2 linked regions of the Lepisosteus oculatus genome follow. The protein of the gene in region 1 purifies or fractionates together with the protein of each later gene. This does not show direct contact. Links are inferred from orthologs where the notes say so. Each region holds a gene or a part of one and is shown on either strand. Other genes may lie near its edges.

What was found.
Region 2: the proteins of dcp1b (region 1) and bag4 purify together in Homo sapiens (affinity purification with mass spectrometry; 3 studies listed by BioGRID and IntAct, counting the BioPlex papers as one, with this or other methods). This does not show direct contact. The link is inferred for Lepisosteus oculatus from reciprocal best matches to the Homo sapiens genes DCP1B and BAG4.

What each region holds. Positions count from the first base shown.
Region 1 is NC_090702.1:7,871,856-7,883,912, reverse strand, and holds the start of dcp1b (mRNA-decapping enzyme 1B), read left to right. Parts: upstream 1-6,224; 5' UTR 6,225-6,468; coding exon 6,469-6,630; intron 6,631-9,113; coding exon 9,114-9,154; intron 9,155-10,288; coding exon 10,289-10,416; intron 10,417-12,057. UniProt on the Homo sapiens protein: May play a role in the degradation of mRNAs, both in normal mRNA turnover and in nonsense-mediated mRNA decay. May remove the 7-methyl guanine cap structure from mRNA molecules, yielding a 5'-phosphorylated mRNA fragment and 7m-GDP.
Region 2 is NC_090697.1:70,605,163-70,617,132, forward strand, and holds the start of bag4 (BAG family molecular chaperone regulator 4), read left to right. Parts: upstream 1-5,987; 5' UTR 5,988-6,163; coding exon 6,164-6,325; intron 6,326-8,949; coding exon 8,950-9,075; intron 9,076-9,573; coding exon 9,574-9,759; intron 9,760-9,870; coding exon 9,871-10,140; intron 10,141-10,778; coding exon 10,779-11,210; 3' UTR 11,211-11,970. UniProt on the Homo sapiens protein: Inhibits the chaperone activity of HSP70/HSC70 by promoting substrate release. Prevents constitutive TNFRSF1A signaling. Negative regulator of PRKN translocation to damaged mitochondria.

The sequences.
Region 1 (12,057 bases):
TTTTAAATAATCTAGTTAATTATTTTTTTGAATGCAGTAGGCTGCATATAAAATATATTACAGTAATTGCCATGCCATGTCATGAATAAAATCTTTAAAGTAACAAAATATGAAAACAAAGCAAGGGTTTGAATACTTTTGTGAGGCACTGCGCATTTCAATTTCCTTTTATGAAAAGGTGATGTCACTTATTTAACGAGTTGAGGTAGAAGAACAATATTCTGAAACCTCATATTGTGAAGCAAAAATTGGTAATTCAGCATACAGTAGCTGATGCTTTTCACAAGCACTGAAAGGTTGTATAATATACTGTAAGCACAAAATAGATGAGGGAAGATTTCACTTGTGAAACAATACATACAATGCAACAGTGTTATGTAATGCGGATTAAATTAAATTTTGAAGGGAGAAATAATGTGTTAGGGTCTAAATACTTTTGCAAACCACAGCACATACAGTACATACTGTACAGTAACTTAGTAAAACAACAGTTAAGAAAGACCACATATTCACAGCACCACAGTGACCCACACAAGGTTATTGTTGTCTAAGTTACAAATATGTAGTTAAGATAACTTACTAAAGGGCTAGAACAATTGTAGAAACTACAAAGAATTTGTTTTAAAAGATTTTGAAAGGGAAACATTTATTTTCTTTTAATCTTATTACTCTAAAATAGTTTTTTTTACAATGTCTAGTTTTTATATATTCTTGTGTTTTGTTTTTCACCACATTCGTATTTCTCTCTGACAGTGGTTATTAGCTTGAAACCAAGGGCGTAACAAAGTCAATCCTTGGTCTCCATTATACGACACTAGTGAGAGATCATAAGACAACTGAACCTTTTATTCAATACAACAACAAACATTTTAATGTAGAATAACACCTTTCATCATAACTAAGGATCACAGTGTAATAACATATTGAGTGTTCGGGGGATGGGGCAGGACAATCAGTCAAAGGCATAAATTACTCTGTAATTGCTTGAATCACTCAATCCCAGTATGTGTTTCACAGTAAATTAAGATGATTTTACCAATCCATGACTTTAGCTTAGTATTGTTATTCTGTAAATTCTATTTTAGTCACTTTGGATACCTTTAGAAAATTTCTAACCACATTACATTCTGTATTGAAATGAAGAGACCTCTTTTCCTGGAAGTGTTTCTGTCATCCTATCAACACTAAAAGAGTTTTCATCATTTGATTAATTAATTAATGTCTTGCATGTTTTGAGTGAATAAATATGTATTAAAGTACTTGACGTATCCTTAACAAAGTGATCTGCTATATGTCAGACTTAAAAACGTAAACCTGATTAATTGTCATTTCTCTATTTGTAATTTCAAGTCCTGCCATGTTTTATAAGTGTTTCCTTGTTCACATTAATTTAGAAATGTAATCAGAAGAAGTGAGTTCAGACAAAATCTTGGAAGGAGCTCTGTTAAGTCCATTTAAGGACATATACTAGAAGAATTTATGCCTTGTGGTAGTATAAATAAATACATGCACGTTATATATAAAAAGGAAAGCCCATTCAGAGTATTTTACGAGTGGGAATTCAAACTGTAACCTGTTCACTTCTAAAGTAATTCCAGTTTTTAACCAAAACAAAAATAAAAAACAACACAAAACTGAAAGGAAGATTGCTAAGCAATGATTCTTTGAGGAAATGCCTACTTTGAGATTAGCTACAGAGAAACAAATCAACCGTTACATTTGGCCATTCTGAAAGTCTTTTAAGAGCAGACCTCAATGTTCCCAGTCATGTTTTCCAGTCCCACGTCATGTTTGTAAAGCTCTTTCCAGATTTGACCTGACTGTACAAGTAAACAAACCCCCGTTCTAGGTAAATAAGGACCAATTGGACAAAGCTTTTCTGCACAATAAAAGCTTGATATGTAACATTTGTTTTGTGAGTTTATACACATTATACATGTTATTCTTTCCTTCTGCATTTATTTAATTGAAGACACTAATCTAGGACAAATCACAATATAAACATTTGACTGACACTTCCTGGATCACCTTTACCTAACAGAAATTAAAACTTGGAAAGCATGCATACATATTAAACTCAACAAAACCAGCCAGCTATAGCAGAAAGAAGCCACTGCACTGTCACATCACTTTTCATCACTCCCGATTTTATTATCTGTGTCCTTTTCCCCACTTCTCCTTGTCCAGTCTCTTAACATCCTAAAAGGATACTTATCCCATCTGCTCTTTAGATCAGCATGCCACTTCTTCCTCTGACCTGCACAGAAAATGCCGTTGTCCGTTTCCACCTCATTAAGTATCATTGATGGGGAAGGCTGTTGAAGAACTTGACAGTTTCATCCCTTAAGCACAGATGAGTCTTTGAATTCTGTAAATGTGTAAACGTTTTCACATTCTTTGTGAAGTATGTTGTTCTGTCTTACCACATTTGTGCTCCTGATCAGAATCTCATAATGTTCCTTCTAGAGCCTCTCAGATGTTGATCACACGTTTAATGTCCATCCCAGATGCCACCCCTGCTGACAGACTTATTTATAAGGAATCTTGGTTTTCCTTTTCTTTTGAATCAACAATCGCCGCATCTTTGTCTGGGAACATTGTCTGGGAGCATTACCTCAATGCCTGGAAAACTGAGGTCATAACGTAGGCTTCCAAATTTTCTTCATACCACCTGAACAAAGGTATGTCTCTTTCTCTCTTTTGTGCATGCCAAGATTCTAAGTCATCTCTTTATATTTCCTAGATAGATTATGATGTTGTATTTTTTAAAAAATACAATACTTCATCACTATGCAGCAGATGGTATCAATCCCTGCCATACATTACTTCAGAGCTGGCGCCTCTACATTGGCTACCAATTAGGTTTTAATTTTCATTTGTATCCTAGTATGCTTCTTTGATACACTGGCAATCTTGTATCTTGTATGATGCTATATATTAGAAGAAATCCTATTTCTAGCATACTCCTTACTTTTATCCCTAACGCAATAACAGCTGAGTTATTTCAGAAATTCTGTATTCCCAGTTAATATGTCCCCGTCAGTCTTATTTTCCAATTCCTATTTGACTCCCACCACAATACCCAGAAATAAATTCTATTCTTAAGTAGTTTCATTTGGATAGGCAAACAGACAAATATTCAGCTATAGAGCTTACAGCACTCCAAGGTTTTGGTAGCCTGGCTGTATTTAATTCTAAATATTGTTATTGACCTCTTCAGTTGAGGGTATTTAAGTTGTTTCTGGATTTGGAAGCATGAGCTTCATATCAACCAATTGAGGAAGCCCTTAATTCAGTCAATTAGAATACAGGAGAATACCGAACCCAGTAATCCCTTGGTTTAGCAAACTTTGCTTTAACGGACTTCAGATTTAACGGACAGAATCTGCTAAAGGTGAATTTTGTCTGTAAAATACCTGGATTTTCCAGCCATAATGGACAAAGTGAATCCAGACAGCAGGCTTGGTTTAAAAACAGGACAAAATGGGAAAAATATAAGAAAAAATGAGTTGTAAAACACATTTAATGTAAAATATTGATTAAATATTTATTGAAAAGCCATTAAGTCTTTCTATTTATTCTCACAACAACCCCTGTATGTAGGATAGTATTCTCCTTAGAAACTCTTGTGTTTCATGCAAAAACTTACAGGCACATATTTATACTTTATATACATAGTAAAAATACTTTAAACAACGTAACAGAGTAAAATGTACTCTGCCATTTGGGTGAAAAGGAATGTTACAGAGATACTGTGGTGGCAACAGATGTGCACTAGTAGCAGCTCAAAATAGCGCTTTTCCTGCTGTTCGAAAAGTACAAGTCAGCTGAACTTATCTAAGGTACTAGTGCCCTCTAGAGTCATAACCACTGCTTTTTTTCTCCTAACAACTTATTGATGACTTCATCTCATATTTTTATATCATGATTCAGTTATGGAAGCTCATGTCTTGAATTGTGTTTCATTTTTTGATCGTTGTCATTCATTTTTTTAAACAATGAAATACTAAGTATTTCTCTTATGTGTAGGAAAAAGCATGGAATATCTCCAATCACATTTTTTCATAAACTCCTTGATTTGCCTTATTTCACAGTGCGCAAAATTCACTAAATCTAAAAGCAACATACTGTATATACACATACGGCACAGGCTTGAAATACCACTCACTTGGTCAAGAGCACTAGACTATCACTAGACTAGACTAAACTCTACTTTTTAAAGTCATGCTGTGCTGTTTTAAGAACAGTTTTGTAAGTAATTTAAAATAAACAATTACTCTACTCAATCTGATTTTGAAAGGACACAGAGAGCCTATTTTCTTGATTGTATAATCTTCTGTACTTGCTTGTACCTTTAGACATGCTAAAGAAATGTTACCAGAATGATAAAGGAAATCAATAGCATAACTGGAGTTCTTGTGTGGCAATGCACACTGAGACATTATACTGCTCTCCTGGAGTAGTATAGACATGAGAGGTGAGGGGCATACAGATACACTACATTCATACATTTAAAAAATGCATTTGTTTAAAAGGTTAAATTATGGTCTCAAATTGACAAAGGTATAGTTTTTGTAACACTACGTTTGTATTCCAAAGCTCACAATATACTGCATTTTATTTTATTGACTATAGCTCTTGGTATATAAAATCTGGTTCGACACTATTCATTTGAAAGTCTAAAATATGTAACAGAGCAGACAAATGTGTGATCAGTTTGGTTTACTGTCACTCATCAATGAATTTAAGAAAGGGTACTTACAAAAGTAGAATTTTCAGTTCTTGCCATAAGGTATTTAAAAATATTGATCTCTTTTTGTAGTTTCTTGAAGAGTTCTAAGAAAACAGCTTCAGCAGCAAAGTTGAACCTCATTGTCCCTGACACCTGTGACTTTTTTTGTATAAAGAGGTTCCTACTATTTTTCAAAGTCCAGAATGCATGTTTTCTTCATTTCTACCTCTGATAGTCTAGTGGGTAGATCAAAATCTGGTGGTCAAAATTGTTCAGGATTTTGAAGACTCAAGTTAGTACATTATCTGTACATAGTGGAAGAAATTTTTAGGTTTATTCCTATGAGACCAAAAACAAACAAAAATTATGTTTTTGGGTTGTTTTTATGGGATGTCCTGGCCACGTGGCTTAGGATATTAAAGATCCCATTACACTGTTTATAAGAGTAGGGATTTTAACCCTGCAGTCATGGCTAAATTTCACTTTGGGCGTGTACAATCTATTCTACCCAAAGTCCTCAATTAATTCAACTGATGAAGAAAATGTTCTTCTTGCTCTCCTGATCTGCTGTGTAGTGGGGCCACTGGTGTATGCTTCTTGATTGTCCATCTGAGTTCTGTCTTTCAGTGGTGGATGAAATGTCTTCTCTCCTACAGAATAAGTTAAGTGCTTTTCGATCATTTGGAATGAAGGCAAAATATAAATTCAATTAATTTCAATGCTGATTTACAGTAAATAAATCATTCATTCTAAAACTGAGTAAGAGATATTTTCACAATTGCAAAATAATAGAAAATACCAGCTATAACAGTACGAAATATAGTGAGATAACTTTTCAAGTATTTATTGTAGGTTAATTATGTACATCGTATTGGTTTTTTGGTATTTGGTATTTGGTATTTGGTATTGGTATTTTTTTTTACTTATAAAAGTGTCCACACTTGAGACTGTGTACACATCATTTGTAGCTGAACAAAACCGGACATCTTTGGAAGAGCACGAATGTTTTTGCAAAGCACTGAACTCCTGTGATGTTTTCTACAAATACAGTATATTCATTGGCCATATTTATTTATGGCACAAGCTTTGTACTGTAGCAGGCAACTGTCTGGCGTTAATATACAATAATAATTATCCATTTTCCATTTAATGTCTTACTAGTACAGTACTTCCAGTCTGGATAAAGCTCTTTTTTTTCAATTATGGGGCTGGCTCGATCTTCATATTTTATTATTACAGATCGGTACTGTATGTCTCTATATTTGCCGTTTTTAAAATATATTACAGGGCTGTCGTGCTATACATGGGGGATACTTGGGGTTCTATGATGACGTGCATTTGCTTAATCAGAAGTGCGAACCCTTTAAGAAATTCGTGTATTCTGCTATCTGTTAGAAGCCTTTTTTATCGCGTTTCAACTTCCCCCCAGTATTCAATCAGTTGTCTCTAGAGTCGATTAGATGACCTGTAATGTGACGCTACAAACGATTAGTCACGTCTGACTGTTTACAGTCAGAGGTGGTGAAAAATGGCGACTTCCTGCTCATGGGTGTACAGCTAGAGTTAATAAAATACCAACTTGACGTTTTTAACTTTAGATTTACTTGATTTTATTTTATTTAATTTTTTAAAAATCTGCAAAACATTCAGATACCATAGAGGTATTTTGGGGGGGATTTAAGTGTTGGGATCAAATTTACTGAGGGCTCCGTATAACCTAACAGAGCAGGGGGGCGATGAGTTCTACATCTGGGATGGTATCAGGCACCTGTCTGGCGGCAAAAGGTTTGGACATCAGCCTGGCAGCCTTGCAGCGACATGACCCGTACATCAACAAAATCGTAGATGTTGCCAGTCAGGTTGCCCTGTACACATTCAGCAACAAAGCAAACGAGTGGGTAAGAAAGCAAACTTAACACTCAGCCCCAGTGGCACACGCTGTTGGGAAAATGTTATCAATATTGTTATTATTGTTATCAGTTGACATAATTTACCTGTATAGCAGAAAGCTTTTCTCCGTTATTTCAGTGATAAAAGCGATGAATGCTGTGAGAATATACGTTTGCAAGGAGTTGCAGGGAAAATTGCGTTGATAACGTACTTCGTTGTTTTGATGATTTTCATCCTGAAGTTTTGACAAACTATTTTGATTGACGTTGTATGAAAAAAAAACTCGTTTTGTTTCGCCTGCGTAAGAGAAGCAAATTACGCGTGCAATGTAATTTAGGACATTAAAACTTAAAACCTGTCGGATAGAACAAAATACCATGTAAAATGATCATTTTTGTATCAGCTTGAATAATCAACGTAATAGTTTATCAATTGCTCTTTTTTTTGTACAGCCTTCTGAGATTATAAAATCAACCTCGTGTCCGAATGTGGAGTTTATAAGGAATAGTAGAATGAAGCCATTTCTTGGTAGCGAAATTAAATTTACCAGCACAGGTAAAATTTATTAAACGTGGTGTTGTGAATAAGGAGAAAATCTGAAGTAAATTCTTACAAATTTCGGATAAACGTCTGTTTCTTTAGTTAATTGATATACCTTTCAGTAGCCAGTTAGAGGAATTTGCGAGTAGAATGCCAGCCCTGTTTCCCCTTTACTTTGGGTACATATCAGGTACATTTCTACATTTACTGTTCTCCTGGCTAACTTAATAAACTACATTTTGATGTCTCACATGCTGTAAAAATGTTCCAGTTCTGTGTTCTGGATTGCTTCAAATGCGCAGTCAGTTTATAAACTGTCTACTGCAGTTCGTAGAATCGAGGCATACATGTGACAGAAGACGCTTTTGTGAGGAACCCTGAAAGCTCCGTGCACTGCAAATGCAGTCACAAACCAATAAACAGATCATTCTTTTCTGAGAAAACCGATTCAGACATTCATTTCCCCCCTCTTTGTGCTTTTAAATAGATTTTAAATAGGTGGAGTATTTTTTTGCCATAGAAAGAGATGGTATCTTTGAGGGGAACGGGATCAGTGTGCTCATAGAAACAATAACATTTCTTTAAAGAAAGTGCTCAAATATCTCGTGCATTCTGTATCTGTTCTTTCTCTAAAAACTTTCTTCTTTCTTAAATAGAAAGATGAAAAGCTTATGACCTAACTTGAAAGGCATGATGATGAAACTTAGTGCTTTCTGTCAAGTTAATACAACACTGTGCTTTTACATTGATCAGGGAACACTGTGTAAAATATGCTTAGCGTGTGGATATTGCTTTGCCAGAAGAGTTTTTTGTTCCTTGCTGGCCTTTTTATTGGCCAGTCAAATGGAAGTGCCAGTCTCATTATAACTATGACACGATCGGATTGGCAGAGAGTCAGGGTTGCAGAATGGGCATTGCAGACTCACTGTAGCCTGTTGACTCTGACTTCAGCTTTAAGATATGCTGTCAAATACCGGTTTCCAGCAAAGCATCTGTCCATCCATGCATTACCAGAATGCTTCTTGTTCCTGGAAACGATCAGTACCACCCTGAGGCCTAGGTCTCACGTGGCGCACACACAAGACAAACACACAAGCACACAGGGACAACTGGGAGGCACTGGTTAAAGTGAGCCAGAATGTTTCTAGAAGGTGGAAAGAAACTGGTGCACCCAACCAAAACCCACAGGAAATGAACTTGCCAACTCTACACAAATATTAAACCATGCACCCAAGAGCTGTGAGCACGTCACCGTGCTGGCATCCAGTAAAGCCAAGAACCGGTATTTACTTTTTTTCATTGTTTTTGCCCTTTTCAGTCAGAGATATCGGACTGCTTTCCCACCATATAAAATATACTGTAGATACAGACCTATATTGGCACTCTCCATGTCCTGCAGTGTTTTTATTAGGCATAAAAATGTTGTTTGGTAAATTTCCTTTTGGCAGTATCTCTTCTGACTGCACAATTTAGCAAATGATAGTTAATACTACTTATGAATAACTTAACCAAGGCATTTTTCTAGTTACAGACAAGTACTTACATCCTGTTTCTACAAATGGTTAACTCTGTAAATCAGAACTGCAGTGTGTTGGGATAGTATAAAAAGCATTGGCAAAGAATTGTTTTCAAAGTGCTCAATTGCATTCAATAAATTAGTGGAAGACAGAGATGGATGGTGTTATAGCTATGGCTATGTGAAGTTTGCTTTCATAACACTATGTTTAATGTGTTCTCTCAATAAGAGTGAAATTGTGTTATAGAAGCATTTTCTCCTTGCCTGCCTTTTAGCAAATTGTTACTCTTTAGGTCTCTGTCATTTTCTTTAAGCCGTAGTGCTTTAATTTAAGCAGTTTTTCATTTTTCGCCGCAAATCTTTTTTCTGAAGGTAGTGCACATCCAGCAGTTCCAGTTTTAAGAGTTAATAACATAATGTTACCTTTCTCTTCAGGAAAAGACTGATGTGGAAGGAACTTTATTTGTGTATACAAGGTAAGGGAGGTACAGTATGTCTGATAACGACGTCTCACTTTATGAGTTGATTTGCCATAATGTATCAGTTTTGGAAGGATAACTGTGGACTATTCATCCTTTTTCTGAGTACTTCATCCAATTCATAGTAGCAGGGTAGTCAAAGATTAACCCAGCAAACACCAAGTGCAAGGCAAGGTAGACTCTGGATGGGACACCAGTCCATCACAGGACACACACAGGCACAGACATGCACACACTCACAATAGGACCATTTTTCCCAGAACATAATTAACCAAATTAATCTGCTGCTGTGGGAGGAAGCCAGAGCACACGGCGAAAACCCATGTTTATGATTCACCTGTAAGATGTTTATGATTCAGGAAAAAACAGGAAACAATTTCCACCAAATGCCAAAATATAATGAAATGTGTAATTTTGTGACCAAAACACAACCTACTGTATGCAGCGTAGGGGGAACACTAGAACAAATGACAATGTGAAGTCTGTTTGGAGCGACACAGTTTCATTCTAATGGATCCTAAGATACAGATGAAACAAAACAAAAAGAAGTTTAGAAATACAATTTAGAGTCTCTTGTTAGATCAATCAAATCAAGGAATGTAGGTAGTGATTAGTACCAACTAGGACTGTAATCCACTAGGAAAAGCAGGTTGCTGTAGTAGGTTGTGTTGGTGGGGCAGAAAGCGTCACTCTTTCGCCTGATGCGACGGCGGCCATAGTGCGCCAGAACGCTCACCACACATCAGCTATCAGTGGGGAGGAGAGCAGAGTAATGAAGTCAATTCATAGAAGGGCATTATTAGGAGGCCATGATTGGTAAAGGCCAAGGGGAAATCTGGCCAGGACACTGCCGGGGTTACTCTCCTACTGTTTATGTTTTGGCTTTCACAAACACTCTACACCAGTCTGTTTTTCTTCATTTCTTGGATGCAGGATAGATCACCTTAAAAAGTGAAGATCTCATGTGCATGTTAAACCCAGTGCTGTACAAAATTTTGATTTTTAAATCCATGTTTGTCTTTAAAGAATTTCTGCAAGGACTTTTTAACTTGATCCATTGCCTTATGCTTAGAGCTCCAAACAACACAATGAAATTTTGCCCTGATTTTTCCTGTTTTATTCTGGTCTTAGGTCTGCCTCCCCCAGGCATGGCTTCACCATAATGAATCGCCTGAGTATGGACAACCTCACTGAGCCAATAACCAAGGATCTGGACTTTCAGCTGCAGGACCCTTTCCTGCTCTACAGGAATGCCCGTTGTAAGTATGTGATAAAATGTATTAACACTGCTGGAAACAATTATTCATTTTTTTTGCTAGCAAAAAAGGTCAAGAAGCTTGTAAGTCCATCCAAAAAAAAATCCTCAAAAATGGCTGGGGCACTCTGAAGAAAAACATGGTCTTTCTATTTACTCCACACACAGTCCATATGCATAGACTGGTGCATGAACTCTTTAGTGAGGAATATAGACATTATCAGGCACCATATTCCTAAATTAAATTTGGAGAAATTAATAGCAATATAATAATTAAACGACATATAGTAATACGTGTGGGTAGCTGCGTCAGCATGCATAGGCTGCAAAGGAACAAGTAATAGGTTTATTCCATGCTGAAAAAAAGAAGAAAGCAAACACAACATTGTTTGCAATGGTCATGGCCGTCGGGGCCGTCTTCAGAGAACACATCAGGGCTGTGAAGATTAAAGATCTCTCCAAGTCTGTTGTTTCTTATTTCACCTCTGACGGCCACGACCACTCTAATCTCTCCGTCTGTGTTCTCAAAGATGGTTTTCCAAACTCATACATCAGAAAGACTACCGAAACCAAAATTATCCTGCAGCTAGGGTCAGACCTTCCCCCTTCTCTTAACGACATACTACTTTTCTTCTAAATTTTCTTCATTCATTAGAGGTTTCATTTCACACCTCTCTACACCTATTCTGACTTCACACCTCTTAATTGGCCTCTCTTTCTGTCCCCTGCTCCCACCTCTCGCTCCTCCTCTCTCCCAGCCTTTGTTCTCCTGCTACATTACCGTTGCCTACTGCCTTGTCTTTCTCACACCTGAAGAAGGCTCCACGGCCGAAACGTTGTGTTTTCTTTCTTCTTTTCTTCAGCATGGAATAAACCTATTACTTGTTCCTTTATAGTAATACACTTTGAATACATGTTGAAATCTGCTCAAAACTGTTACCATGGAAGGATAGAAATATGCACCCAGATACAAATTTTCTAGTGCTGCAAGATGTGTTTCTGTAGCAGGTTGATAAAATTACTGACGGGGTCCACCGGCTGTCAAATCACATTTCAGAAATGCTGTAAATACCGTCAAGGTTATATATTTAATATGGGAAAAGTCTGTGACAAGCAGGTTATTTTAAACTTTTTTTATGGGGTTTTAGTGTCCCTGCTGAGAACACCAGCGATTTGACATGGCATTTTATCTCCCTTATCCACCACCAAAGCCATTTATGTAGCTGCAGCACACCAGGAGTGTAACCTGTGAGGTGAAAAGGAGCCGGATGAACGGTTACAGAGGTGTTCTGCATGGTGATGATTGCAGCCCTTTATAATCAACACCTGCTTTCACAGCAGACAAGACTGAAGACTATTCTCTTAAGTGCGGAAATTAAGTAGAAGGATGTACAAAATTAAAGATGAGTCAGAAGGAACCACGCCCCGATCTGAAACGGAAAAGCACAAGAAAACTGGAAATGACCAGCACTGTACCCAGTACCCACTATACCCATGCAAAACCAAGTAGAATATCCATAAAATGTTACAAGGAATTTTGAAACGTCTCTGAAAAACAGCTAATGGCTAAAGGCACATAACATGATTTTACAGATCATAAAACTGGTTGGAAGAATTGGTTTGTGGCTTAATAAGGAGGACGATA
Region 2 (11,970 bases), on another chromosome or scaffold:
GATAATGTGAAAGAAAAATGTACAAGTAGTTTGAAGTATTCAAACTCTTTGCCAAGGCAAACCTAAATTAATTCTACCAGAGCAGAAAACAAATCCTCAAATCCCAAATTAATTCAGCTGCACAAAATAACCTTAACTAGCTACATAGTTAGTTGTGTCATTAAGGACTGGAAAGCACCCATACACTGCCTGCCTCAGTTTCCTCCTTGGCCAGCTGCTATTATGCTGATGGCAACTTTGAAAGAGCTACAGCATTCAGTGGCTGAGACAACGTCCATGACTCAACAATATTTCAATCATTCCACAAAGCTGTGTTGTATGCCAGAGCAGAAAACAAATCTCAAATCCCACACGGGGTTTACAACAAAACATTACAAGACACTGCAAGATATGTGGCAAACGGTTTTGTGTGGTCAAACATGACAATTTTGGAACCTTTTGGTCTAAATGGAAAGCATTTCATTTGATGCTAAACCAGCCTAGTGCCTACTTAGTCCATACCATTCCTACCACCAAGGACGATGGTGGTAACATCATGTTATACTTCTCCTTGTCATCAACAGGGACTGGGAAGTGTGTCAAGACTGATGGGAACATACAGTAGATGGAGAAAAGTACTGGCAAATCTTAGAGAAAAGTTGCTTCACACCTAAAAGTGGCACAAATATTAATCTTTCAGCTTGACAGTGATCCAAGGAGCAAGGCCATATCTACAGATATTACAGAATCTGTTAATATCCTTAAGTGACCCAGTCAAATTCCTGTCTTGCATCTTTTTTACAATCTACGTAGAGACGTGCAAAAAGTTGTTTGTAAGAGATCTCCAAGCAACTTCAGCTTGAGCAAATCTGCAAAATTATACTAAGCTGATGTGCAAAACTACTTGCAGTTGTAACTGCTGTCAACAGTGCTTCCATCAAATATTGAGTTCACAGGTCTAAATACTTAAATTAGCAACATTTATGATTATTAAACAAGTTAAGATAAGATTTTTATTGTCCCCTGAGGGATTTTTTTTTTTATGAACACCCACTTTAAGATTTGCTCAAACTGTCAAGTTGGAAGGGGAGCATCAGTGAACTGCAGTCTTCTAGCCTTTCCACAGACTCTCAGTGGGATTCAGGTCTGGGCTGTTGCTGGGCCATAGGGACTTCATTGTGACTTTGGCTGTGTGCTTGGGATTGTCGTCCTGCTGGAATGTGAATATTTATCCCAGTCTAGGGTCTTGTGCTTTCTGAAGCACGTTCTCCTCAAGGCTTTGCTTGTACGTGGCACCGTTTCCTTCTCTCCTGACACGTGGCCCAGGCCCTGCCACTGAAATGCATCCTTATAAAATGAAGCTGCCGCCACCAGGCTTCTTGGAAGGGATGGTGTTACACAGGTGATGAGTTGTGCTCAGTTTGCACCTGGCATAGTGCTTTCTATTCAGGCCAAAGAGATCAATACTTTTATTTACGACCAAGGACCATCTTGCCCAATTGCTCAGCTATGTTGCATACTGTACCCTACAAACCTGTCTATCTCCTCAGAATTCGGTCATGGAGATGGTTCCTTAGTCTCCATGGTACAGATTCTTTGACATGGACAGTTAGTTGGGGGATCGTTTATCGATAGGTATGGCTTCAGAAGAAATGCATCAACCAATTGACCTGACCACTGGTAGAATCCAGTTAAGAAGGAAGTTCGATGCAGCCAGGCTCTGTTTGGAGTGTCGTAAAAAAAATATTTTAAATTATATGCAAGACAATTTCCCAAACTCTTCATTCCCCTTATTTGTGCAGATCACTGCCTCTCTGACAGACCCACACGTGCACAAGCCGGAGCCGTTTAGATAAACCCACCCCACGCTCCCTGAGTGTGAGATGGTGCTCGGGGAATCCCACTCACAGCTGGCTAGTGGCCTGACTCGGGCTTGAACCCAAGGACCTTCTCCACAGAGAAGTTCAATTTTGTCTCTCACATTAGGCTAGAAGCCAGGGCTGTGGAGTGCTAGGTTAATGGGATGAGAGCTCATTTCATTTCCTCCGTGCACTGCAGTCTACTCAGAACTACAAATGAGGGACAGCCATGTGGTGGTCAGGTGTCCCATCGAGTATGGAGCAATGCACTCGTGTCACAGAAAAAAAAAAAAACTCTGGCCAGATAAAACACACTGCTCACTGTACAGATTTCCCTTATCTTCAACACACTGTTGGTGCACAATACCTGCTTGAGCTAGCCACAAGTAATTAATTTAATATAGCTGAAAAAACAATTCTAAATGAAAAAATCAGGATAAACTAAAGAGCGGGAACAAATACAGTAAGACATGGGTCTTTAAGTATTCCCAGCACCCTATATATATATATATTCAACAGTCAATCACAATTAAGTGTTATATTGCACGAAAACAATACACTAATATTTTTAAAGACCAAAATGTTGACAGTTTTTTAAACAATTCTTAGATTGTTCTCTGTTTATTTACATGGCAGCTCAAAACAGCCACCGTTATTCTGACAGAATAGTACAAAAAACAAGAAGTCCTTTTCATTTAAGAAACATAATATGAAAATAACTACAGCAGCTTAAAACAAGTGCTTTGTTGCGATTTGCCCTGGCGTCCAATGTGACACATATCAAAGGTAACAAAAAGACGATTAGTTTAGATCCATAATTCGCCATTCATTTGAAATACTATTAGACAAAACAAAACGTGGCAAGTTCTGTTAGGGGTAAATATTTTCTTTCCTCTCCCTTCAGGACATGATCATGTTAGTTTGTGAAAACAACAACAACCTGTCATCATCTTGGTTTTAAAACTGAAAGGTCCAATTAAAATAAAAGGGATTCAGTATTCATCTAGGGTGTCTGCTCGTGGGATAGACAGTCCACGGTCCTTAAGTGCTTGTAGTTTTAATTTCTCTGCCTCTTGTTTAGCCTGCTGTTCCTCCCTCTGCTCTTCCAAAATCTCCTCAATGGAAACTTGCTGCAGGACTGTATCACTCTCCTTCTCCAGATCCTAGGAATCAAACACAGACCAGTTTAAGGCTCTCTGCTGATTTGATCTATTTTTATTTGATTAGTTAGATGTGCAGTGTGCTAAGATAAAGCAAGCCTGGGCAGAGAAAAAAAAAGACAACAGATATTCTAATAAGGCTGAAAGTTACGATACATCATCCTCAGTTTCCAAAGTCCTTTATAGGATTACCAGTGGAGCGTCCTTTATAATGTTTTCAAATTTCTGATTTGGAGATAATTTTTTCCCTTCTACATACCCAGAAAATCACAGATAATTTTTTCTAGCATCAATAGATCCAAGTTTTTGACTTCACTTAAGTTCAAAGTCTTTCCAGTTGATTGCAGTGAGATACCTTGCTATCATATGTTCGATAAATTGATCTTTTCAGAGGCATGTTCACAATGTGCTGAAAAGCCCAACTGCGCTACACATCCAGTAATTGTATATGACAAATGTACTACCATAGGTAGTGCCAGCTTCACCCTGCTGTGAGAATCTTTTACTTCCATTACATTTAATCTTCTGGGTATAAGCCAGTGACAGAGCTGTTTTCAAGACAGCATTCAAAGGGAGTTTGAGAAACTGGGTATTTACAACCAGATCAACCGCCATTTTTTCAAGCCTATTCTTTTTTGTGAAATTAGTTTTTCCAGATCAGTTTATTTTCAGAAAATAACAAAAACAAGTCTGTGTATATAGGACTGATTCAAGGAAACCGTTTTCAGAGCCACATCCTTAGAAACATTCCAACTGATGAAACAAGCTGCTATAGAAGGAGAAGCCTACTTACTATTTCTCCAAGCAGAACAACATTTTCCCCCCTCACTATAAATATTCCTCGAGGGATGTCTCCATACTTTCTGCCCACATGGATACGTTCCACTGTTTGATGCAAGACTAAATTAGCTGCAAATTAAACGGAAATGCAGTTAAAAATCCATTAGCAAGGAACTCTCAAATGCACCGATTCGCAGTGATCAAGTTAAAACTTTTTTCTTTCTGAAATGTTAGCTCCAAGATATAAAAATGTGGAAGTCTCAGTTGTCACAACACAGAATTTAGGGATTGTGATTAACATAACTACAGGATTTACCTACCAAGAGAAAAAACAGCAGCCTTTTTCGTTGAAATTGATCACTAACAAAACAACTAAGAAAATTTAACTGAATGCAACAAGAAATGAACTCATTTTAAAGGAACCAATTTCATTTCCGAGTTGTATGATGATACGCATGTCCTGGCAAATTGCATTTTTACGTTATCCCCCAAGTTGAATGCAAGTCACGGAGAAAATCTTTAAAGCTAAACCCAAGTGATCCACAATGATTCATACCAAACTGATCAATACTTCGCAGAAATCCAATCAGTGTTCGCCCGTCTCGTAGAAGGACAAGATGTTTTTCTGCAAAAGAAAAAAAAACCAATACAGCAAAAGATCTTGAGGGTAATCAACAATCAATGTTTTCACTATCGTTCACCACAGGACGTGCAACGACATCATAGTCAGGAACAAATAAAAACAATAACTTAATTGAGCAATGCAATGAAACATTTGATGTTTTAGTCTCCACTCATCGACAAGTATTATTAAATGTTATAGGGAAATAACACATGCATGGCAGCTAGCCGTAATGTCTTATGTCCTTGTAGGTCGGTTTTACCATAACAGAAAAGTAAAATGATATGTGCACGTTTATTTTGCGATAAATTATTATTTTCTAAACCGTTTCGACATGGTTCGACGAGGTGAGAGTTAAGGGAGGAATTGGGACACCTAACCTGAGGCATTCAAATATTGACTAAACAACATCGCCGTTTACTGCATTTTCTAAGCAATACCAGTCACTCACATTGAAAAACAACACGGGGAAAAGCCGCTTTACTAGCTGAAAAAAATAACAATACACCGCTTGCTCTTTCACAACCGAGCAGAGCTTCACAAGATACATTGTAAGGTACGGATCAGCAGTAATTAAACGTATTACTTACTGTCGATATCCTCAATTAGACTCGCTGTTCCCGGCATATAATTCATTTTCTTAAGCGCTATTCAACTATGCTATTTTAAAGTTGGAAATAATTATAAAGAGCCGTTTTCTGGCCATGAATCATTCAAAATGTGTGTATCCTTGCCTTGACAGGAAGTGCAAGGTTAGTGTAAGACCTGCACTTCCTCTGTGATTTAACTCTTTATTTGATGTTCCACTTAAGACAATTTACAGATCTCGTGAAGAGTGAAAACGCTAAATTGGGGATAAAAACATATTTATTGGCATAGTTACTAGTGGATATGCATGTTATAAATTAAATACATTTCACATTTGTCGTGCTCTTTTGTGTGTAACGAGTTGAGTTCTATTGATTGCAAATTTGAAGCAAATTTCAATATCCTACCGGAGAATTAGATATTACGCTACTATGGAGTGAGAGCAGAGAGACTGAAGAAGTTGATTTGTGTTATATACTCCCTATTCGTATTCAGTTGTTTTTAACTTGTCTTGTTCCGATTGAGAAGAGTCAAAACGTTACTGGAATATAAACTTCCCACCATGTCTGATTCAAGGTTAAATAGTATTGATTTTACATCATTAGGATTACCTAACCAATTTATATAATTAGTTATGCAAATTATAATCAAGAGACCAAACTCAATGATGGTGTTAATAAACACAGCCGTTACACTGTGCCATCATATAGCACCACGAAGCTTAAAGGAACGTATTCTGCAAGTAGATATGACAAATATTGACGCATCAAGGATGCGTTATTCCATCCCAAATGTCCCTAGAGATACTTTAGAAGAACCTTTGACGTCCCCTTTAAATTCCCCGGCAAAAACCAGAAGTGACGTCAGTCAGAAGGGCACCAAGACCCCGCTTTCATCTATAGGTCGTTTTCCAGGATGTAGGTGGGACGTGTTTCCGAGTTCTGAACACCTATTGGTCAAAAAATGATTTAACCTATTGACGTAAGAAGAGTGTGCCCTCATGTAATAATTGCCATCTAGGACGAGGAAAGCAGAGTTCCTCAAACTTAAAGGGGCGGTACACGTTTCGCGTCTCATTGTTTTATGTGGTTGTGTTCCGTTTTAAACGCACAGCCACAGAACTCTAACCGTACACTGGTTTAACAAGGAATGTCAAGTTGGTAAAATCGGGCTCAATGGCGTACGATTCGTTAGGCAACGAGAGAGGTCGTGCAAATGGTGGAGATCCTGTATGGGCGATGCACCAAATGCAATCAAATCCCAAAGGAACCTGGCCTCCTTATAGCAACAACTCGGAAAACAACAACTGGAATGCCCCTATGGTGACAGGCAGTCGGGTAAGTAGTGCTTAGCTTAGGATGCATATTGGTGATCTTTCGTGTAACTTGTGGCAGCGTTGAATAGGCTATGGGGCTTATCTTCAGCAGCTACAGTAGGATACCTTATAGATGTTCGAATCTGGTTGAATACCTCGTTTCTTCTTAATTGAACTTTATTATTCATTAATTTCCTTCCAGTATTTTCACTCGAGTGTCACACATTAAACGACTTGTCGTTGTCGTTGTTGTCTTAAGTACCGTATTAACCCCTGTATATTTTTACTATACTGTGCTGATGTAACAGCACACAGGCTTAGATCAACAGAACTATAAGACGGACATTTAAGGCAGACAATAACTTAAATTACTTAAAGCTACTTAAAAGCCGACGTGTAGAAGCAGTTTTCTTAACCACCTAAAAATATTTACTGGCTCGGCATCGTACCGTACAAAGAAGAGCAAATAATTCAAATAATTCCTTATCTTAGGTGCATAGACATTTTACCAAATATAAGGCATGACCAGAGGGAGCATAAAGTTGTCAAATAAACTTTTATTTACAGTGCAGCAAAAATGTGTAAAACTTTGCAAGTTAATACTAAAGTCCAAACCACAGTTTATAAGTAACCAGTGCAGTGATCGCAGGAGAGGGGTGGCATGAATACACGTGATTGATATAGATTTTATGAGGGAGTAAGCAGCACTGCTTTGCACAATTTGAAATCTTTCAGTTGTGTTTTAGAGATACCAGGATCAGTCCTAGAATAATAATAATTAAAAAAAAAACTAAGACGAGTTTCTCAGCATACGATAGTCAAGCAAAATACAAGTACTTCAAAACGATGCTCTAACATGTTGGTGGCCAAACCACTGGTCCTGGAGAGCTACAGTCCAGTAGGTCCTATAGTAACCTTTTAAATCTTAATTCGTAAATACATTGAACTTGTTTCTCAAGTGATTTTGATTTCATTTCAGATCAAAAATTCGTCTCGGAACTGAATGTCCTGCTTCTGTGGTCAAAATGAAATTGTTTCAAGCATTTGAAAATGGATTTAAGGGTGACCTTATGACCAGCTGGATTGTGCCTCTTCAACACCACGGCTGGCCACCGCTACTGTAGCTTCTTATTATACACACGATTATCAAATGACTGCCTTAAACTTCTGGATTTGTCAGTCTGATGCTGAGAACAAACTAATAGAAACTAATAGAACCTCAGTTTTATTATTAAGTTATGAAATTTTGATACCTACAAGATTACATGCAAAGACTGTTAGAGTATGTGACCTAGAAATTAGGTCATTATTATCACCAGCATAGAAACAATAAGTGTTCTGCCTCTGTATTATTTGGATGAAGGGTAATATATACTGTACTATAGTTAGTGGATAACAGAGAGCCCTGTTTTATCGACTCCGATGAACACCAGTAAGGAACAGGTTTGTGGAAGAAGTACAGTGAAGAAGTGATACACACTGTCTTTTTGTACAGACAGGACACAAACTAACAAAGGACAGAGTTAGTAATGCAAATTTTAAATTGTTTAAGGGGATTGTTATAATGGACAGCGTCAAAGGCAAGCAACACAAGAATGGTCTAGCAAACAGAAATGGTCATTAACAAATAATTTACAACTCGAACCACAGCAGTTTATGTGCTGTTTTTTAGCCTATACAGAGACTGAAATGGAAAAGTTTCACTTAATTAATTTCTATTCAGATGGGTTTGCAACTGAAGGATCACACTAGAACAGTTGTTACAAAGAAAGATGTGAAATGAGTCTGCCTTTGCTCAGGGTATTTTTACTTAATTACTTAATAATGAAAACAGGTGGTCATTTTAAGTATTCCAGCAGTCAGGTCAGATGGAGTTTTTTGGAGATTCCAATCATATTCCTTTAGTTCTCAAAGCAGAAATATTTGATCTGATGACAGCTTTCATCTTCCAAAAATCAGTCACTAGATAAAACAGTTTTTGCTTTGGTAGAATGGACTCATAGATTAAACAGATTGAGTGTTTTCTGTCTGATTTCCATTTGCATTCAAATTGACGACCTGCAGAACTGGACCCCAGTTCATCAAGTTTCGGGACAATGATGCCCAGCTGAAAAGTTTAATCATATCCTTCAGTGACAGAGAACCATGATTATAAAGACGTGATTCTAAACTAAACTCAAAAAGATCTGCCACCAGGTTTGTTCAGTAAAACATTTTTTTTCCATGTGAGTGTCAATTAAACATTTTGACCATGGTGTGTTTAAGAATTTTGTTTTGCATTTTTCTTGAAATGACAGCCAAAAAAATAGAATATTAAAAAATCAGTTAACGTTCCAAGAGTATTGATACACGGGGAAATGAAAATATCTCCTCTAAGTAACTAATATAATCACATTGGGAGGATGGTGGTTAATCCCTATATTCAGGTGTAGACAGCATCCTTGGGGTTTGTTAGCCTACTGTTGATAAAGGAATGCAGAACTAGTACCAACATGTTGGACAAAGAGGTCCACATGTACGATTAATCGTCCCCTGAAGGAGCTGACAGATTTTTTGGAGGAGGCTGGTTTTTGCTGTTCTGTAGTACTGCAATACTCTTTGCCGCAGTAAACATGGTAACCTTCTAACAGCTGGTTTGTCTCATAGGACTCAGTACCCTACCCTGGCTATCCATCCAACTACTGGTACCCACCATCTCACCCAGCCGGTCCATATTCAAATACATATTCTCCTGGAACAGAAGTCAATGGACAGACTCCATACAACCCCCAGGTACAGTATTGAGTGATTCTGCTTCACTGCATGACACTCAATCGGTGGACTGGCTCACTCAAGTGTTCCTCCCCTCGGTCTATAAGAGAGGTTGTTTTAATCGCATTATACTATCAAGCTTGATATTCTCAATATTCAAGTGAAAAGCCATGTGCATCAAGTTGTTTCACAAGCTATTACAATAGTAATCAATAATTGATTGGAAAACTGTGTCATATTTTATACTAAGACTAAAGCAGTAGAAGTTGTGGATAATTACATTGGATTAAAGTGGCCAAGTTGGACTGAACTTATGGAGTTTAACATGTTGAAATGAGTCCCTGGCAAGACTGAGTGCAATAACTCTCTTAAAACATATGTTCTGTCAAAATGAGTAAGAAATTTCACTTCCTCCTCTCTTAGTTTATATAGGATGTAAAAGATGTAAAGCTCTGGATACCTTTTGCTTTTGTTGTTTGTGTGCTCAGAGATGCTTTACAATTCCATTTTGCTTCACAGGCAATGCCAGCCTACCATAACGGGGTCTATTCCGGTGCTCTCCACCCCTCCAACCCCTTCTATTGTGGTGATCAGCCACCAGGAACACCCCCATACCCGTCCCAAGGGTGCCCTAATCCTGCGACAGTAGGAGTGGGCCAGCACCCTTCTCACCACCAACGTTATCCCGTTCCACACTGCCAGGGGGTAGGGTACTCATCACCGCTTTCTTCTGGGCTGGCAGCTTTGATACAGAACTAAAGTTACATCACAAGAACCAACAGCTGTTATCCTACTTTTGCGTGTCTCCTCTCCTAGGCTCCTGGTTACCCTCCTGCTTCCTACTCTCACTACGGAGATGGAGTTCATTCAGTACCCCAGAGCCATGCGTATCCTGCTCAGCCTGCAGTGCCCTCGAGACCTCCAGCCGAAGCCTGGTCTCACCCAGGGGGCTACGGGCACCCTTCTCACCAACAGTGGCAGCCAGGCCCCCAGCCACCTCCTGGCCACTATGGAAACCCTTTCCTCTCCACACATCACTCACCCTGGCCCAGCCCTGAGCCTGCCACGCCACAGTACGACCCAAAGGTAACTGATGGCGGGCTGTGAGAATTCGAATATTTTTTGGATTGCTTTGCTTGTGTAACTGCAGAGGGAAAACTAAATGTGCCCGGGGAGCTTCTAAAACAAAATCCTGTTTTGTTTCTGTAATTCCTATAAATGTGTAACACATGAAAAACACAACATATATGTAATATGAAGTAGTTCAGGTGGGTAGCTGCGTCAGCATGCGTAGGCTGCAAAGGAACAAGTAATAGGTTTATTCCATGCTGAAAAGAAAGAATACCAAACGTTTCGGCCGTGGAGCCTTCTTCAGGTGTGATACTGTACATATAATGTAGGGACCTTGAGGACAAGTTGATCCAATTTGTAAGTAAGCTATATCTCTTGCATTATTGAAATTTGTTATGGATTTGGTTTATAGAGCATAGACTAGTGCCAGCCTGTATATTCTTTTGTTAATTATTTGCTGACGAGAAAATAATTCAGGTCTAGAAATAGTGGCTTGGCTTTTGTAAACTCCCATCTGTATAATGAAGTTATTTCTAAGATGATTTTGTTGATCTATACTGTATACCTATTTTGATTTTCACTTGCCAAAGTGTTTTGATCTTTTTCATGGTTTGTGTTGTCACCTGCCTTTCTTTTTTTTTTTCTTTTTCAAGCAGGACTCTCAGTACTGCGGCTACTCCCACCCAAATCAGCCTCCTCATCCCGGTGGACCCAAGCCCAGGTCACCGAACCCTAACCCCGGACAGGGCGGGGAGTACAGCGCCCCCCCGCAGTTGTACGGCAAGACGGGAACGGCACAGGAGCCTGCCCCGCCTCGGGAGGCGTCTCCGCCGAGCGACAACCCCGGCCTGTCCCGGGTGCAGCAGGTCCTGGCTCGGGTGGGCCTGCTGGAGGAGGACGTCGACGAGTTCGTGGGTCATAAAACGGACAAGAGCTACCGCTGCCTGGAGGAGCTGCTCACCAAAGAGCTGCTGGAGCTCGACTCGGTGGAAACCGGGGGGCAAGATCTCGTCCGGCAGACCAGAAAGGAGGCCGTGCAGAAAGTACAAGGCATTCTCGACCGCCTGGAAAGGAAGGCTTTCTAGAGCCTCCCCACGTTTCTTTTAGAAAGATGCACTCCTCCCATCATCCCAGCATTGGCACAGTGGCCCCACATCCTGGTGATCCCTCCTTTTCCTGTTCCACTGACCCCTGTAACTCTTACAGGATTCTCCCATGTATATTTTAGATGAGCAATGATATTAATCATTCAGGCCATCCCTGGTCCCCGAGAGTCCAGTTTTCCAGAACCCAGCAGGATTTATGGGTCACCCATGAACCTTCAAATTCCAGACACTTTCAGCAATTTTCCTTTGAGCACCGAACCAGGTGAGTTATTCAGTTAGACCCTTTGTAGATTCTTTGAAATGAAGCCCTCTTAGCCCTTAAGAACCACCAATGTTTGTTTCTGTCTAGAATTGATCCAAACCTCACATGCCTTCCAAGTTTTAAGAAGTGGAGGATTTAGGGGTGACCCGCAGGACTCTGACCCTCCAGAGCTGGTTTTGCCACCCATGATTTCAGAGGTGTCCCAAGAGTCGCTGTAGTGCACATTCCATAAAAATTAGATTCACCTAATCTTGCTGGGGTATCTACCAACATGGAAAGGGCTAAAGTACTGTTCTGGGGTCTCTTTTTCCCTGTATCGTTTTTTTTGTCACTGATTTTTTGCATTCATTCTTTTATTTCCACTCAGCTGTTGCAGAGACATTCAGAATTGGAGTAACTAGGAGGTGCTGTTTGGGGAAATAATAGTTTACATATAATCAATATGGATAACATTTTTTATAAAGTGGATTATTTATA